Regions from separate parts of the Mus musculus genome. Here regions 1 and 3 are each reported to be linked to region 2. Evidence: microRNA targets listed by miRTarBase, many of them from high-throughput screens and not tested one by one. Region 2 holds a microRNA gene; each other region holds the end of a gene's coding sequence.
The links. The annotated mature microRNA mmu-miR-466f-3p reads CAUACACACACACAUACACAC and lies in region 2 at 880-900, opposite strand. An mRNA with a match to its seed (bases 2 to 7 or 8) in the 3' UTR can be bound and repressed. Matches are read on the target gene's strand: a 7mer-m8 pairs with bases 2 to 8, a 7mer-A1 pairs with bases 2 to 7 and ends in A, and an 8mer does both.

Region 1 (3,098 bases), not on the chromosome of region 2:
TCATTCGATGGAATAAACTTATGGAAACTCAGAGTGATAGGCAGAAAGCTGCTTCTTCTGATGGCTCTCCATCTGTGAGAACAAGTGTTGGGTTTCTGTAACTCTGTCTTTCTCCTTTCATTCTTTCCAGGCTCTCACCCCGGAACAAGTGTCATTCTGTACCATACATATGCAGCAATATATGGATCCACGGGGTCGGAGCCAACCTGCTGGCTACGACTATGTTGGCTTCACCAATTCATTCTTTGGCAATTGATATGCAGATTCTTATGCATCATAGAAAATCATAGTGTGGCAGCAAGTAATGGGGGATAAGAGGCACAAGCAAGCGTGAAAGAAAAAAAGATCCTGCTGCTCTGTGTGTGTGTGTGTTACATTTATTGTGGGATTTTTAAAAAAATAATCAAGTATATAGCGGGGGCTAAGAAAAATCTATAGGATTATGTAACTAGTCTCTACCTAGGGTGCCAAGATTTTAATGTGTGTGTGTGTGTGTGTGTATGTGTATGTGTGTGTGTGCTGCACACCTTTAAGATTTTACTGCATTCTGATTATAGCAGAAATATTTCTTTTTTAAAGGGAAATTTAGGTAAAATTATGCTTTTGTATTTTTGGAACCATATTATTACTAAATATAATATGCAATTAATTATACTGTGGAAAAGGACAATAATAAATTAGATAAATAAAATACAAGGTGATTCACAGTTTGTTAGTAGCTTTTAAGAGAGATGAAATCCTTACAATTTGAAATGTTTGTAATTTTGTCTTATTCTATGAAGTAGAGTCAGAAAAAGATAACATAAAATGCTTGTTTTCTTCTTGTCCTGTTTTGATATTTCACCATTAAAGTGAATGACTTTGGCATGTCAGGGTCCTCTCATGTTCCCTAAATCTCTGAATACTCTCTTACATTTTAATATGATACAACTGATGTTTTATTCATTTCTATCTTCTCAGAAGCCAGTAAAATGTTCATAATTTAAGGAAAAAACCAAGAAGCTATGGTGGTACTATATCTAGGTGTTTTCAGTACAGGTATGTTTCTTAGGTAACTTTGTTGCCTTTTGTGAAATTTAGCCTTTCGTACAGATAGCCTATTGCTCATGAATATCACTCCTTATTTACTATCTTAAGTCTCAGTTTTTTCGCTTGAGTAGAAATTAACCCCTCCTCAATCTTTGGGAAAAAATTCTCACAGGATCTAATTAAAATACTTATGGCTACAAATAAAGATATTTGAAAATGACAAGTAGTCTTTTTATAACATTTACCTTAAGCCATTAACTATAGTGGAATATAACAATCAGAACATACCCCCAAAATGTTTACCAGTGTCTAATTTAGTTATAAATGACCAAGATCTTTCCAACTGGGTGGTTATGACATAATAGACCATCAAAAATCAGTATGAGCTGAATAAAATTGGGCTATCAGTTTATATTTCTCAGGTCATTTATATTTCCATCTCCTTGATAAGCCTGGTGGATCTGGAGCTTAGCATCTCAAAGCCTTCATTTTTCTTCAGCCTAAGGTAATAGCTAGGATTCCTTCCTTGTCTCCTTGATTCTTATTTGTCTCTGCTGAAACTCTCTATCCTCCCTACTCATGTGCTGATCTTTCTAAATCGCAGATATCTTTCTGCTCCATTTATTATGCCCTGTCTCCTGCTTCACAAAAGGATCATACTGAAGTGAGATATTCAACTGATGACTTCCTTGAACAACAAAAACTCCCTAGGCTAACACATTTCTCATTTGTATGACTTTCACTTTCTCTGACCCACTCAGTTGTCTCTGTAACATATCCACAGTCTCTCATTACCCAGCCTGTTATCTTTTTCTGAGTGACCCAGTCAGTTTAGGACATGTTTCATCCATTCTTTAGGAATAAGAACACACACAAACTTAGTCAGGAAGCTGTCTCAGATCCACGGACTAAAAGCCAGCATCACAACATTGTTACAAGTAGCAAGTGGCATTCATTAAAATATGACTATGACTCGAGTATATTGATAAATTCTTTATATATGTATGAAACCTTTAGTCATATACAAAAGTATGTAATGATAACTATTTTACAAATGAGGGCACTGAAGCTGAAAACAGGCAAGTAACTTACCCAGCTTAACACAGCTAGTTAGTTGAAGAGCTTGTGTTCACATTCCTGCCAGGCTACTGAGGAAGTCATTTTTAATTCTCCCTAACAACAACCCGAGGCATGTATGAAACACTGTAGGTGGAAGGAACAGGCAAAGTAAATAGCTCTACAACAAACTCAGAAAGATAAGAGATGCAGTGAGGGGTGAGGAGCAAAAGCAGCAAGAGGGCTTCTGCCTACCCAGCATCTTCCAGACTACATCCCGAGTTTCAGGCCTTGGAAGAACATTATTGATCAAATAGTCTCATTGTATAATCACTTTAAAATTCTCTACAATGCTCCTGGATCTTGGCATCGTAGCCTTGAAATTCTTTCATCTTGTTTAGCTCAGCTGGGAAAACAGTCATGATTAAGAAAATTCTTGTTTCTCGATTTGTTTTGATAATTGGGAGTGGCATCTATGAGACTGAAGGTGAATATTTAAGATTTGGAGCTCACTGTGGGTTGAACACAGTAAACAGAGCAAGAACTCCTGTTTTATCCTTCCAGGCATCATGGGAGGAAAGGCAAAGGAGGGATGTGGAGTTTTGGTACAGCAGTTTTGCCCAAATTGTAAAATATCTAGTCCATTGTATTGAACCTGGTCTAGGGTGTGCTTATGCAAATGTCTCCAGGCTAGCCTTTATCCTTTACCAAGTAAACTCCCCCGGAAAGCATTTCTCAGAGCTGTCTGCACAGCCCGATTCCTTAGACTATAAACAATAGGATTGAGGAGAGGGGTTGCCACAGTGTAGGTGACAGCAATAAGCTGATCCCTCTCAAGAGAGTAGCTGGCTTTGGGTCTCAAGTACATGAAGGAGGCACAGCCATAGTGAATCACGACCACTGTGAGGTGTGAGGCACAAGTAGAAAAAGCTTTTCTCCGTCCCTCGGCAGAAGGGATTCTCAGGATTGCTACCAAAATATAGGCATAGGAGACACTAATTAAGAAGAACGAG
Region 2 (3,000 bases):
GTGTCTGTATCTGCGCATGCGTGTATATGTTTGTGTGTATGTATATGTACATTAATAGACACACATGCACATGCACACAAAACTATATACACATGCACATACATTCATGGGGGACATCCCATGAATTCTAGGCTGATGTCTAACTCATCATGAAATTAAGCATGAATTTCATCTCCTAATCCTCCTGAGTATGGCAAACATTGTTACCTGGTGAGTGAGATCTCTCCCTGGCACTGTCCTGCCTAAACTCTCAAGCTCTAAGACACATATCATTCAAATGGATGTGTGTGTGTGTGCATGAGTGTGTAAGTGTGTGTATATTCATATTCATATACACAAATGAACATGCACACACAAGACACACACCTGCCCATATATAGGGTACAGCCCATGAATCCCAGGCTGATCTTTAACTCATTATGAAGTTAAGCATGATTTTGAACTCTGGATACTGATGCTCTGGCAAGCCTTCCCTGGTGAATGAAAAGTTTCAGTGGCCCAATACTACATAATCTCTAAAGCTCTAAGTCACATATCATTCAAATGGATCAACGAGTGCCATTCCTCTGTGTGTGTTTGTGCTTGCGTTTATACGTGTGTGTGTATGTATATGTATATTCATATACACACATGCACATGCACACACAACTATACACACAGGCACATACATGGGGGGCATCACATGAATCACAGACTAATCTCTAAATTCTCAGGAAGTTGAGCATGAATTTGAATTCCTGATTCTCCTGATTCTGGCAAGCATTTTCACCTTCTGAGTGAGACCATTCACTGGCCCAGTACTGTATAATCTCTAAAACTATAAGTCACATATCATTAAAAGTGATCAGTGAGTGTCATTCATATGTGTGTGTTGCATGTGTGTGTATGTGTGTGTGTATGTGTATGTATATTCATATACACACATGCACATGCACACACACGTAAACACACATGCACATACATATGAATACCAGGATGATCTCTAACTGAAGGTAAGCATGAATTTGAACTTCTGATCCTCCTGACTCTGTCAATCGTTTACACCTGGTGAGTGAGAACATTCACTGTCCCCTATTGCATAATCTCTAAAACTCTAAGTCACATACCATTCAAATGGATTGATAAGTGCCATTCCTGTATGTGTGTGTTTGTGTGTGTGTACGTGCGTGTGTATGTGTGTATGTATATGTATATTCATATACACACATGCACATGCACACACAAGAACACACACAGGCACATACATAGGGGCCATCACATAAATCCCAGGATGATTTCTAAATCTTCATGAAGTTAATTATGAATTTGAACTCTTTATTCTCCTGACTCTGGCAAGCGTTTTTACTTAGTGAGTGAGATGTCTCACTGGCCCAGTATTACATAGTATTGAAAGATCTAATTTACATATCATACAAATGGATTGATAAGTGCCATTCATGTGTGTTTTTCCACGCGTGCATGTCTATGTTAGTGTGTATGTATATTTATATTTATATTATACACACATGCACATGAACACACACGTATATACATAAGCTGCATCACATGATACAGGCTGATCCCTAACTCTTGATGAAGTTAAGCATGAATTTCAACTCCTGATCCTCCTGACTCTGGCAAGGATTTTAGCCTGGTATTTGAAGCCTCACCCTCACTCAATACTACATAATCTCCAAAGCTCTACGTCACATATCATTCAAATGGATTGACAAGTGACATTCCTGCATGTATGTGTGTGCGTCTGTATGTGTATGTGTACATATATTGATATGCACACATGTACATGCACACACAAGTATAAACACATGCACATACATGGGGGGCATGACATGAATCCCAGGCTGATCTCTAACTCATCATGAATTTAACCATGAATTTGAACTCTGAAACATACTGACTGTGGCAAAAGTATTCAGCTAACGAGTGAAACAACACACTGGCCCAGTACTGCATAAGCTCTAAAGCTCTGAGTCACATATTATTCAAAAGGATATATGATGCCATTACTCTAAGTGGTGTGTGTGGGTGGGTGGGTGTGGGTGTGTACATGTGTGTACATGTGTGTATATGCATATTCATATAGAGAAATGAATATGCACACAACTATACACACATGCACATTTTTGGTGGGCATCACATGAATCGCATGCTGATCTCTAACTCATCATGAAGTTAAACATGAATTTGAACTCCAGGACCTCCTGACTCTGGCAAGGGATTTCACCTCCTAACTGAGACATAGCTCTGACCTGGTACTGCATAAGCTCTAAAGCTCTGAGTCACATATCATTCAAAAGGATATATGAGTGCCATTCGTGTGTGCATGCGTGCATATGCATATTCACATAGAGAAGTGAATATGCACACAACTATGCACACATGCACTTTCTTGGTGGGCATCACATGAATCTCATGCTGATCTCTAACTCTTCATGAAGTTAAGCATGAATTTGAACTCTGTAGCCTCCTGACACTGGCAAGAATATTCACCTCCTACCTGAGACATAGCTCTGGCCATTCCTGTGAGTGTGTGTGCATGCGTGTATATGCATATTCATATAGAAAAATGAATATGCACACAACTATACACACATGCATATCCTTGGTGGCCCAGTACTGCAGCATCTCTAAAACTCTAAGTCACTTATCATTCAAATGGATCAATGAGTAACATTCATGTGTGTGTGTGTGTGTGTGTTGTGTGTGTGCATATGTGTGTATACATATATTCATATACACACATACACACACACATAAACACACATGCACATACATAGAGCGCATCACATGAATCCAGGCTGATCTCTAACTCTTCATGAAGTTAAGCATGGATTTGATCCTCATAACTCTGGCAAACATTTCCATGGGGTGACTGAAATCACTCACTGACCCAGGACTGCAGCATCTCTAAAACTCTAAGTCACTTATCATTCAAATGGATCAATGAGTAACATTCCTGTGTTTGTGTGTGTGTGTGTCTGTGTGTGTTTCTGTGTGTGA
Region 3 (3,098 bases), not on the chromosome of region 2:
AGCAATACACACGGAGAGATGTACTTTACTGTTACGTACCGATCAGCAACCTTAAAACAGTTTAAGGATCAAAGAACAGCTGCCCTGGCTCACAGAAAGAATGTGTAAGTGCAGAAGATTTCTGCACACAGCAGTGTGTGGCCCAGAGCCAGCTCTGCCCTGCTGGAGACCCCGAGAGCCAGCGCTGCCCTGGTGGAGGCCGTGTATAGCCCAAGGGCGTGTCAGTTCTTAGAGCTAAAAATGTCTTCTTCTCTTAGGTTCGCTTTCAACCCTTAATACAGAAATAGCCAACACCAAGCTTCTACAGACCATCTGAAGCTACAGTGCTGTGCTGGGGGCAGTGTCACACGCTGTTTTATGACGTAAGTCTCACGGTCTGTGTTCTTCCCCCAGGCTCTCAGAAGCATGAGGAATTATGATCTCTGGAGGAAGATGGGAAACCCACCTTGACAGTTTGGACTAACTGCTGTTTTCTCTGATCTTTCGATACGACTGCTGATGAACGGATTGGGCAGGTGTACCACACCTATTGATCTGAGCATTGATTTAGACTACTGCACCCTAGTGGGTGCTAGATCCTTGGGGCTAAGGCTCTGTTGGATTTGTACCTCAGAGGAAGACAAGTGGCTGGTCTTCTGGGACTCTTCTTCTCACCAGAGGGAGAAATGCCGGCAGCAACTGCAAGAAGCCCAGTCCTTCGGTGCCCACAGCCCAGAGCACACACTGCTGTGCTGGCCCAGAAGCTGGGCAGAAAGGTCACCATGTTCTTCCTTACCTCAGTTTACCTGCAGCCCTTGCTGCAGTGCAGATGCCCACCCTGTACCAGGTCAGGCCGGCAGATGCTTCATCCATGCCTCAAGGTCTACGCCAACATGCTTCTCACGTCTCTTCCCCTCCCCACCCCCCTTCCCAAGCACTAGGCTTGTTGTTTAATGGAGCCCAACCAATAATCATGTGTCTTCAGGGTTGGCTCAGTGCAGTTGCTAAGCAAATCAGTCTTCAGGAGAAACGGGGTGGTGTGGATAAGGCTGGAAGAAATGGCAGGTAGTGGAGAGTGTTGGGGTGTTCGATGGAAGACAAAAACATGGGCCGTTCTCTTCAGTCTAGTACCCAGTGAACTGTCCAGGTAATTGTTTTGTAAACAATTTTTCTATTTATGAAAATGTGTGCTTTTTCTTCTTACTTTCTAAAAAGCTGTTGGTTATCAGTTTCCTGGCTGGGCACAGGCGTCCTGAGTCCCTCAGTGACCGCTCTCAGCGTGCTCAGCCTCCGTCTGGATGCACCATACTGTCTGCCCTTTCCCTTGTAGAGTTTTCTCTCAGACCCAGGGGATAACTTTGGGTGTTTCTTCCCCCAAATGCTCTCAGACCTGTGACCAGGAATGACTCTGTCTCTGGAACTCGGTTTCCTACACTCTGTCTTTCCCTTGTGCTTTGGCTCTGAGGGTCCCCTTTGGCTTTCGAGACTTGCCGAGGTCTGGTCCAGTTCTAAGGTACTGCTGCTGTCTGAAGCAGCACCCTTCACTGCTTTGTGTTCACAGCCACAGCCCAGCATCACCTCGGGAGCAGCCTGGGCTGAGGAGCCTTCCACGTGTTGTTAACCTGGCTGGACAGGTGTGGGTGTGTGGTGTCATCTCTGCCCAGGACTCAGGGATCTACAGCAGAGAGTTAGTGTTGCTGGGCACAGGGTGTGGCTCAGTGGCAGACAGAGTGCTTGTCTAGCAAGCCCAAGGCCTTCTGTCTGGTACTGTATCTCCCCAGCCCCCCCCCCCCAAAAAAAAAGACTGAATATGAGGAATGAGTACTGTGGGTAACTAAGTTCTTGCCTGTCCAAGCTAGGTAATATGTGTGTTACCATGGAAGAATGGCCTACAGGAGCCGTGGTTAGGGATTTGAGTGGGCAATTGTTAAGTAATAAGTAGAGACAGAAAACTGGATTGGGAATTCAGAGAACCAGCATTAACCCCCTTACCTCGTCAGCTGGAGCTCCCACTGAGAGTCCTGGGCAGAGCACAAGTGTCCCCTCAGGTCAGGAATCCACATAAGAGAACAAAGAGCAGCACTAAAAACAACATCATTTAGTTCGGTGCTCACGACACCCCAGAAACGAGCTGGGGGGCTGCTACCATCGGTCGGTCAGCAGGGTTTTCTCCCTCTCCCTCTGCAGGCGCTTGGGTAGCAAGGACAGGCTGTAGCGAGCCCTCTGACCTTGGAAAGGTGTCTGGGAATAAATTACTTCCCAGCTGTTTCAAGCGATGTATTTTGACTCTTGGATTATCAAAGTGTTTTGTCATTTGTCATAAAGTCAGGGAAGGGGCACACATCCCCAGACAAAGGGCCATGGAGGATACGTTTGAGACAAACATGTTCCATAGCTTCTTAGCTTAACTAGCCCTTGACATTTATTGATACAGTGTATATTACAACATGAATTTCAAAAAATAAAAAAATTACCACACATATATCAAGTAATATCTCCCCCCCCCCCATTTTCAAATCTAAAAGTTAGCTTAAGAGCCAGCCTTTGTTCAGGCTTCATGTCCACCCTGGATTAAGCTCTCAGGGCTGCTGCGCCCGACTGTGAGCGGAAGCTGTCTTCCCAGTGCCCTGGGAGCCTGGAGTGTTGAGCAGGAATAGTCAGTGCTCTGAGATGCTGGCCCGGTGGCCAGGGTCCTTCTCTTACCAAATTATGTGTGCCTCCTCTGAGGAAGAGGAAGGCATGGGTCTCCTATGGCCCTTTAGTCCCTCGTGGGTCACTACACTGACATAAGTCATATTCAGAGCTGATGCTGGCTAGGCCAGACCCTAAACTAAACCCTTCTAAAGCTGTCCAGGCCCCCCCTTTCCTGGTCCTTCCTTGCATCCTGTGGATTAAATCATCTCTACAAACTAAGCCACTGCCACAAATGGGCTGCTGCCGGCAAGTGGCCCTGGAAGGGTGTCCCTGTCAGATTTCACCTGACATTCTCACTACGAAAAAGCATGTTGTGACTGAAAAGAGAGATGAGCTATTCTCCAAGAAGCAGGAAGTGACTGAGCAGACAGGTTATTGAGGCTCCTGGAGAGCTCACCGCCATTCTTGGCCTGCGAATAAATGGT

Region 1: miRTarBase lists Spta1 as a target of mmu-miR-466f-3p. Seed matches in the 3' UTR shown: 7mer-m8 at 496-502 and 7mer-m8 at 502-508.
Region 3: the mRNA of Uggt1 is a reported target of mmu-miR-466f-3p. Seed matches in the 3' UTR shown: 7mer-A1 at 2,413-2,419.

What each region holds. Positions count from the first base shown.
Region 1 is chr1:174,247,202-174,250,299 of GRCm38, forward strand. Spta1 (spectrin alpha, erythrocytic 1) reads left to right here. Exons shown (of 52, transcript NM_011465.4): 52 at 131-1,248. The coding sequence ends at 256. Olfr419 (olfactory receptor 419) reads right to left here. Exons shown (of 1, transcript NM_146715.2): 1 at 2,688-3,098. The coding sequence ends at 2,783. Among named protein-coding and RNA genes, the nearest start is that of Olfr419, 2.2 kb to the right of the region's middle.
Region 2 is chr2:10,464,898-10,467,897 of GRCm38, reverse strand. It overlaps Mir466f-1 (microRNA 466f-1), which reads right to left and starts at 954; the gene lies at 861-954. All of the region lies in intron 10 of Sfmbt2 (Scm-like with four mbt domains 2), which reads right to left. It overlaps Mir466m (microRNA 466m), which reads right to left and starts at 1,235; the gene lies at 1,152-1,235. Mir669f (microRNA 669f) reads right to left here and starts at 669; the gene lies at 549-669. It also overlaps Mir669e and Mir669b.
Region 3 is chr1:36,141,547-36,144,644 of GRCm38, reverse strand. Uggt1 (UDP-glucose glycoprotein glucosyltransferase 1) reads left to right here. Exons shown (of 41, transcript NM_198899.2): 41 at 394-3,098. The coding sequence ends at 419. Mir6897 (microRNA 6897) reads left to right here and starts at 332; the gene lies at 332-393.